Linked DNA regions of Canis lupus familiaris. The protein of the gene in region 2 interacts with the protein of the main gene of each other region in a biochemical or structural test. Links are inferred from orthologs where the notes say so. Each region holds a gene or a part of one and is shown on either strand. Other genes may lie near its edges.

Region 1 (3,516 bases), on a different chromosome or scaffold from region 2:
TCCACTGTTTTTCTACCTCTTCTTTTACCAAGAATTTTTACATAATTAGCAGGTATAAGTCCTGTTGTTTGACCATCAAGACTAGCCAGAAGCCAACCACGCACTTTGGGTTGCTGTTCTGATGGAAGAAAAGACAGCCTTGTAATTATAACACACACTTTGGAGTCCAACACAATATCGATAATAAAATATTATGTAAAATCTGTGTTATATTTACACACTAAAATATATAAACAAATGGTATATACATTTAAAATCAAATGATGAGTAGACTTAACAGTTCTAGGGTCGCTTCTTATAATTTATACTTTTTACTTTATACTTACTAAATATATTTTCAACTTTGAAGAACATGAAGTTTATATCAGTTGGACCAGTCATAGAGTAAGGAGATTCATTCTCCCAAAAGCTAAAACTAACATCAGTGTCTTTCATATTTTAAATTGAAATTTAAGAAATGAATTTCTCATTTCTTTTCAATAGAACTTAGAAGCAAGTATAGAAAATATATACCTTTATTCAGCCAGATTCTTTATATACTTTTGGCCAAAATATAAAATTCATTCTATGTGATTGTGATGAACCTTTTTTTTTTTTAAAGTAGGCTCCATGTTGGCATGACCTGAATTCACGAATCCTGAGATCAAGACCTGAGCTGATTATCAAGAGTCCAACACTTAAACAATTGAGCCAGCCAAGTGCCCCTGTGATGAACAAACAATTCCGAAGATAGTGAATGCTGTGGATTTTAATTCAAGATGAGGAAAAACAAAGACCTCAGTTATCTCTAGACATATGACAAAAAAGGTAAGGCAATACTTTAAGCTTGAAGTAGGAAAGATTTACTTAATATATTCAATTTTGTATTTTGGTATTTTAAAGATACAGAGTATCTGTAAAAAGCTGTCTCTCATTTTAGTTCAGCAGTATAAGTCAGGTACAATATAACATTGTGTTAATACTCTACTATAGAGAAAAAAAACGCAAAATGAACCATATTTGTGACTGTTTTCGTTCTAAATGCTCAGATGTACGTTACGTGAGCAATGGAGAAAAGAAGCAAAGCTAAAGTGTTAAGAGGCATCATTAGTGGAAGAATAATTTTAGATATAAAATTTTCCTGAAATATTATATGTAATTGAAAGAAACCAGACTTGATCTTTTTTATACTTTACATTAAAACTAATTATTCTTATGAGTCCTAATTCTAACAATAAATCTTAAAATGGAATTATTCTTTTAAAATTCAAAATAGTTAACTGCTATTTTCACTAGAAGAAAAATATAATATTTAGAAACCTAGGTTTTATGTATGAGGGATGAAGCAGAGATTTAGCAAATTTGACCCAAATTTTTCAATTATTTATATAATAAACAATTTGCACACTGAAGGTATTTTTCCCCATATAAAAAATGATTACACTAATTAAAGGTTCAAGTTTCCATTAAAAGATCACATAGGAAACAGCCCAGGCCCTTACAAGTATAGGTTCTGAAGTCAGATAAACCTAGGTTCATAGTCCTGCTCCATCACATCTTAGCTTTGTGATCTCGGACAATTTAGTCATTCTGAGTCTTAGATTTTTGTAAATAAAACAGAGACAGTACAATAATAGTACCCACTTCATATCATTTTTGTAAGGGTTAAAAGCAGGATCTAAACTATAGTGCCTTGTACTATAAAGGACAGCTGTTACTGTCATTAGTATCTTTACCAACAAAATGTTATTTTTCCTAGCAAACCTGAATCCCCACAAACACACAACCTCCCCATCGCCAATTCATTAAAAATTTTGATCATCATTACTGGGGAAAGCTAAGGAAAAAAGCTATTTTGCCTGGAGCCATTAAAAACTATTAGTGTCCTAGTCCAAAAATAAGCCTGAGATATGTATAAATTTCTTGCTGAGATTCTTTAAAAATTCATGACAGTAATTCCTAAAATGTTCATGTTGGTGTTTCTGAAGTAAACACCATTCAAATAAAAAAGAAAGCAATACCAGTCCAAGCAAAGACTGACAGGGATACTTACATGACACTGGATAATTTCTTTGGGTTGTTAGATTTATTACACATAGTGCTTACCTCATGGTTTTTTGTCTTTTGTTTTTTTTTCCTCCTCATGTTTTTGTGTAGGGGTTAACAGGGCTTGGAATTCAAGTTTTGAGTTTAGAAGAGATGATATAAACAAAATCTTTCCCTATCTCAGTGAAATATTACTGTAACAACTCTGTTGGGCATTTCTCCTCCACACCCTCAGGTTTGGAAGTTCTAAACTGACACGAAAAGAGAAATTCTAGCGACTACTTCTGAGTTAACTAACAATGAACAAGATCCTTTATTGCAGTTTTTAATACTACATTTACAAATTCAAAAAATTCATGGATAATTCCAATTTATTCATGTTTTGTTACCTTTGAGAGCTAAGTTTAGCATATCACCAGCACGGAAAGAAATTTCTTCTTCAGATACAGCAGCAAAATCATATTCTGCTCTAGCAACTACGTGGTCATCCTCACCACTTGCCCAGTTGGTATTGTCTACAAACCAAATTAAGAAATAAGAGTTATGACTATGATTTGTAAACTCCATAAATCTACTTCCCAAGAGAAAAGTACCCCCCAAAGTAAATTCTATAACACTGCATAAAATCCAACAATATGTTCACTACGATATCGATTGATTATGAACTTTCTTTTTCTTTAAGCTCAAAATTACAATTACCTGTATATTCTTATCCACTTCCCGGTCAGTAAGTTTTAGAAAGATAAGGGAATTATGTCCTATGTATCTTTGTATCCTCTACAGTATTAAGTTCAGTATATTGTAAACAGTAGTCAGGCAATGTGTGCCGTTTTGTTAACAAACAATAAATAAATCCATAAACTTATTTTTGCTACATACTCATTTTCCAGTTTTCAAGTTCTTAACTGAAAATATAGCTGGATCAAAATATTAAATACAAAGGACTATGAAGAATGCTAATTTAATAAATCTATTCTTGAAATTTGAGATTGTTATGTGGTTTTTGAATGCATTCTTTTACTCTTACCTGTTACTTCATCATTATGGGTAGACAGCAGTTTCCAGATGAGGTAAGGACCACCAAGGATAACAGCAAAGAACAAGAATATTGGCCAAGATTTTGCTGAGTTAGCTGCTCTGTCCTCAGCACCAAGGCAAGCCACAGTTCCTTCACTTTCTGCCCATAGGTCCTCATTCTCAGAGCCTCTTCTTAAACCTATCATCCACTGTAACCGTCTATAAAGATACCTTATAGTCCTGACTAATGCAAAAGCTGAAAAAACCTTTGTGAAATGGATTTTTAATCGGGAAAAGTGATTTGCTACATCCAATACAGCCCTGAAACTGTTATAGACAGCTGAAAAGGTAGCATCCATCATCATACTGACGGAGGCAAATGCATGCACAATACTTTCAATGGACTGAAATGCACCTCTGCTGCTTTCTTCAGCTTGCTGAACAAATCTACTGGGTGGCAGATCATCTACCCGG
Region 2 (4,046 bases):
ACTAGGCTGGGACCCTGAAAAACTTAGGGTGCAGGCCTGGCAGAAGAGCACCATGGTTCAGCCCACAGGGTCTGGAATCATTCAAAGCCAGAGTCAAGTCCCAACTCCACCTCTTACAAAACTGTATCACCTTGGGCAAATCACTTCATCTCAAAGCCTCTTTTCTTATTTATATGCTAGGAATAAAAACAGTAACTACCTCAAGAGTTCTGATGAAGATCGAACAGATAATACATTGAAACCAATTAATACAAAGCCTAGAATATGATAAGTACATATTAGCTATTGTTATATTTATTACTGTCATCAGGATATGGTCTTTGCCCTCTAAAACCTTATATGTCAGGCCCTTGAACACAATTCCACTTTCCAAGGCCTCAACTCTGTTTAAGATGACTTAATGCCAGAATCCCACGGGCTGTGCTTAGTATTTCTTCCTGGGCAATACTGCCATCCATCCAATCTGTGGGTCTTCACCACCAAACTACAGTAATAAAGTTCCAGATAACAAAGGGTTCTCTCTCCTATTCTCTCTTTACATAGAGAGACACAAAGAGATACATATACTCTCCAAAATCTCTTACTGAGTTCCAATTCAGTCCCATTTCATGTAAGTTTCAATAACTCCCTATTATCACCTAAGGGAGATCAGGCTCAGTGCCCTAGAGAAATGAATCAAGAGTCCAGGAAAGTCATAGAAGCTGAAGTCAGTCTATATCCTAAGATGAACTGGGGGAACAGAACAGAACTCTGCCCCACTATGAACCACTTTTAGGTTTACCCATGACCATCCTTACCTGTTACTTCAGATATGAATTCTTGGGACCAGTCAGTCTCATTATAATCCTGAGTTACATCCACAGCATCTCCAGCAGCAAGAAACTCCTGGGCCCAGTTCTCAGACAAGGCCAAGTCAGCCACACCAGGAGCTTAAGAGAAAGAAAGAGAACTAAGAAAAAAGAAAAAAAAGAAATGCATATCATTCTATGCATCATGCCTCAGGAATCCTGAGTGCACATGAAAACACTGTGCCCCTTTTGTCTCCTTCTGCAGCTCAGTTCCTCAATGCCAGAAGCATCCAGATATGGAACCCCCTCAGTCTTACTTGCATGGAAAATGGTGATCCCCCCCCACCAGACTCTGGACCCACCTCTCTGGGGTGCCTGGCGGAAGTTTGACTGTTCAATCTCCTGCATCTCTGCCAGGAGGTCATCCATCTTGAAGGTCTGAGGGGCACGGGATACAAGTGGTGCATTCTGGTCCTGGAGAAATTCGGCCACCAACTGCCAGAAGAAAGATGATAAAAGAACTCAGCAAGAGACAGGGCCCGGTGAATGAGGGACTATAACGTCAAACACAAGGAAAGAGAAACCCAGAAACTACAAATTGGAAATACTCAAATAATACATAAAAAAAAAAAAAAAAAAAAAAAAAAACAAGCAGAAGAAATAAGGCAAATCTCACTTGGTCAAGAAGGCCCAAAGGGTGAAATATAGGTGAGCCAGGTTTAAAGTAAAAACACGATGGGCAAAAGAAAAAGGGCACTGAACAGACTGGCACGTTTACCTCATCTTCAGACGCTACTCCCAAAGGCTTAGAGACCTAAGACAGAAAAGAAAGGGAGGCAATAGGGTACAGTGATGAAGTCCACACACACAACCCCGCTCGGCAGAGGTTAAAATGCCTCTAGCGTCTAGAGTGACCTTGGGCAAGTCACAGAACTTCCCTGAGCCCCCGCTTCTTCACCTGTAAAATGACTGCCTTGATCTGTATAAAGATGCACAATGCTTAGCACCGTGTTGAGTGAACACTCACTAGTCGTGATAGCTACTCCTATTTGCGACCCAGCAGAGAAGGCAGTTATCCCAAACTGTCTGTCCATGGGGCCCCTCCATCCGGAGCCACGACCTGAGTTTTCCACCTCGGGAACACTCACCGCCTCAGAGGCCGGGGCTCCTGGGGGCCAAGGGCCAGGCCTCAACCCCTCCTGCCGGAGGGCCTTGTCCTGGGTGAAATGCCCGGCCAGCTTCATCAGCGGGTTGGCACCCCCGCATTCGGCCTCCACCAGCTCCCGCATTGCCATGGTGACCGCCAGCTCACTGATGGGCAGAGAAGGTTTGGAACTGAGGTCCCGCTGCCAGGTCCTCCTCCAACCCACAACTCAGCCCGTATCAGGCCGGGGGAGGCGGGCAGACGTCGGTCCCAGGTTGTGAGCCACTCGCCACCCTCCACCGCTGTGCCTTTTGCTACGGCCCCCACCTCAGCCAGGGATCCGAGACGGGGCCGGTGCCCTGCTGCCGCCCCCTCAAAGGCCTCGGCTTTCAGCCCGGGCCTCTCGGGCGGCCTCCACGACTGCGGTCTCCGGCGGCCGGGCCGGTCGGCAGCCGCCCCCCACACGGGGGCCTGGACCCCAGGGGGCTGAGGAGCAGGATCCCACAGTCGGGCCGTACCGGGGCACTGCGCGCGCGAAGAAGAGTGGTAAGGCCGCCAGCGCGCAAGCCCACGGCCCCCAGGCCCGCCGCCGGCGAGCTCCGCGGGGAGCCATTCCTTCCCCACCACAAGTCACCTGAGCCCCTCCCCCATTCGGCGGGTCGCGGCCCACCCCTCCTGCGCTCCGGACCACCCATTTCCCCCGCCCCAGACGCAGCTCCAGCTCCGCCCCCGGGCCCCGCGAGGACCAGGCCGGGCCGGAGGAAGACCCGGAACGCGTCCTCGCGCCCCCTCGGGACCCGGCGCTCACCGTCGCGCGCCGCGCCGCGCCGCACGACCCGCCGGGGCACCTGGTGCGGGCTGAGGGGGGAGGGGAGGGGAGGGAGGGGCGGGGAGCCAGGGGCGGGGCTCGGGCTTAAAGGGGCCGTGGCGGCCGCGCAGCCTACGCTGCCCTGCGGGAAGCTGTTTGTAGGGGCGGGGCCTCAAGGCTGCGGCGCCGCGTGACGGTTGGAGCCGTGAACCTTAAAGGGGAAGAGCGCCTTAAAGGCGAAGTCTTGGAGCGGCGACCCCGAGAGCGCTACAAAGGCTCGCCCGCACTGGGACTGGTTTGCTGGGAAGCTCAAAGAAGGATGGAGCTAGGAGGGGCTGCCTGAGCTTTGGGGGGAGATCCGCGGGACCGTGATCCTGGATTCAGCTGACTCTTACTCGGCGGCACATTGTGACCCAAGGGGATTCCCTGCCCTTTCTGGGCCTCAGTTTCCCCTCCTATAAAGGGGCTGGCGGCTAGTCTTCCTAAGCCCTGAAGCAGGTAAGAGGAAGGCCCTAACACAGGTGTTGCAGGGGTCAAATCCAAGGCCTTCCTCAGCCTCCTAGTGATGTCCACTTCCAAACTGCCCCAAGCGGGACATCGTCACAGTCTCCTTGGAGACAGAGGCCTGCCCCCAATCCCTCTGCCGCTTCTGCGTGGTGGGGAATATAGCGCTGGATGATGACAAATTCCGGAGACTAAAATAGGATACGACGACGCATCCTGAGTCCTCTCAAGCTGGTAACATACAGGGAAGGTGCACAGTGAATCACTAGTCTCCTCTCCTTCCTCTCTCCCCACTGGTCAGGGTCATTATGGTGGTCATATTCCCACTGCTCCAGACTGGGAAAGCACAGACATGGTGCAAGAAATGATTTTTAATCACAGAATAAGCCTCAGGCCCCACCATCTGCCACAGCCATTGGCTCTGATGTCAGACTTCAAGGGCGTAAACCCTGATACCTTACCTGACTCCCAGACCAAGGGAGACCTGGTGCCACCAAGAAGGGCAGAAGGTGCTCAGGGCTGCTGGTAATTGAGCAAGGATGGGTTAGTACCAAGACAGAAGCGCTCTCCCAGCCCAGGGTGCAGGAGGGAAGACAGACAGCAGGTGGCGCCCTGGGCCAGGCTTGTTTCCTATTGTCCGGCACATTTCTAAGGTGGAGGCCCCAGGGGATCAGAGGAGCTTGGTTCTGTAAACTCCTCCCAGGGAAAGTAAAGAAGCTGCTCTGACACCGCAGGAGAACAGAATGACAGGCCAGACCTGAAAATTGTGCAGAATTTCTCCTCTTCTTACCTTTTCACCATC

What was found.
Region 1: the proteins of PEX5 (region 2) and PEX13 form a complex in vitro, tested with the Homo sapiens proteins (3 studies listed by BioGRID). The link is inferred for Canis lupus familiaris from reciprocal best matches to the Homo sapiens genes PEX5 and PEX13.

The regions. Positions count from the first base shown.
Region 1 is NC_049231.1:62,415,666-62,419,181, reverse strand, and holds part of PEX13 (peroxisome biogenesis factor 13), read right to left. Parts: coding exon 3,053-3,516; intron 2,541-3,052; coding exon 2,415-2,540; intron 119-2,414; coding exon 1-118. UniProt on the Homo sapiens protein: Component of the PEX13-PEX14 docking complex, a translocon channel that specifically mediates the import of peroxisomal cargo proteins bound to PEX5 receptor.
Region 2 is NC_049248.1:8,232,643-8,236,688, reverse strand, and holds the start of PEX5 (peroxisomal biogenesis factor 5), read right to left. Parts: upstream 2,809-4,046; 5' UTR 2,741-2,808; intron 2,474-2,740; exon of another isoform or gene 2,451-2,473; intron 2,404-2,450; exon of another isoform or gene 2,260-2,403; intron 2,100-2,259; 5' UTR 2,084-2,099; coding exon 1,937-2,083; intron 1,603-1,936; coding exon 1,567-1,602; intron 1,284-1,566; coding exon 1,151-1,283; intron 930-1,150; coding exon 798-929; intron 1-797.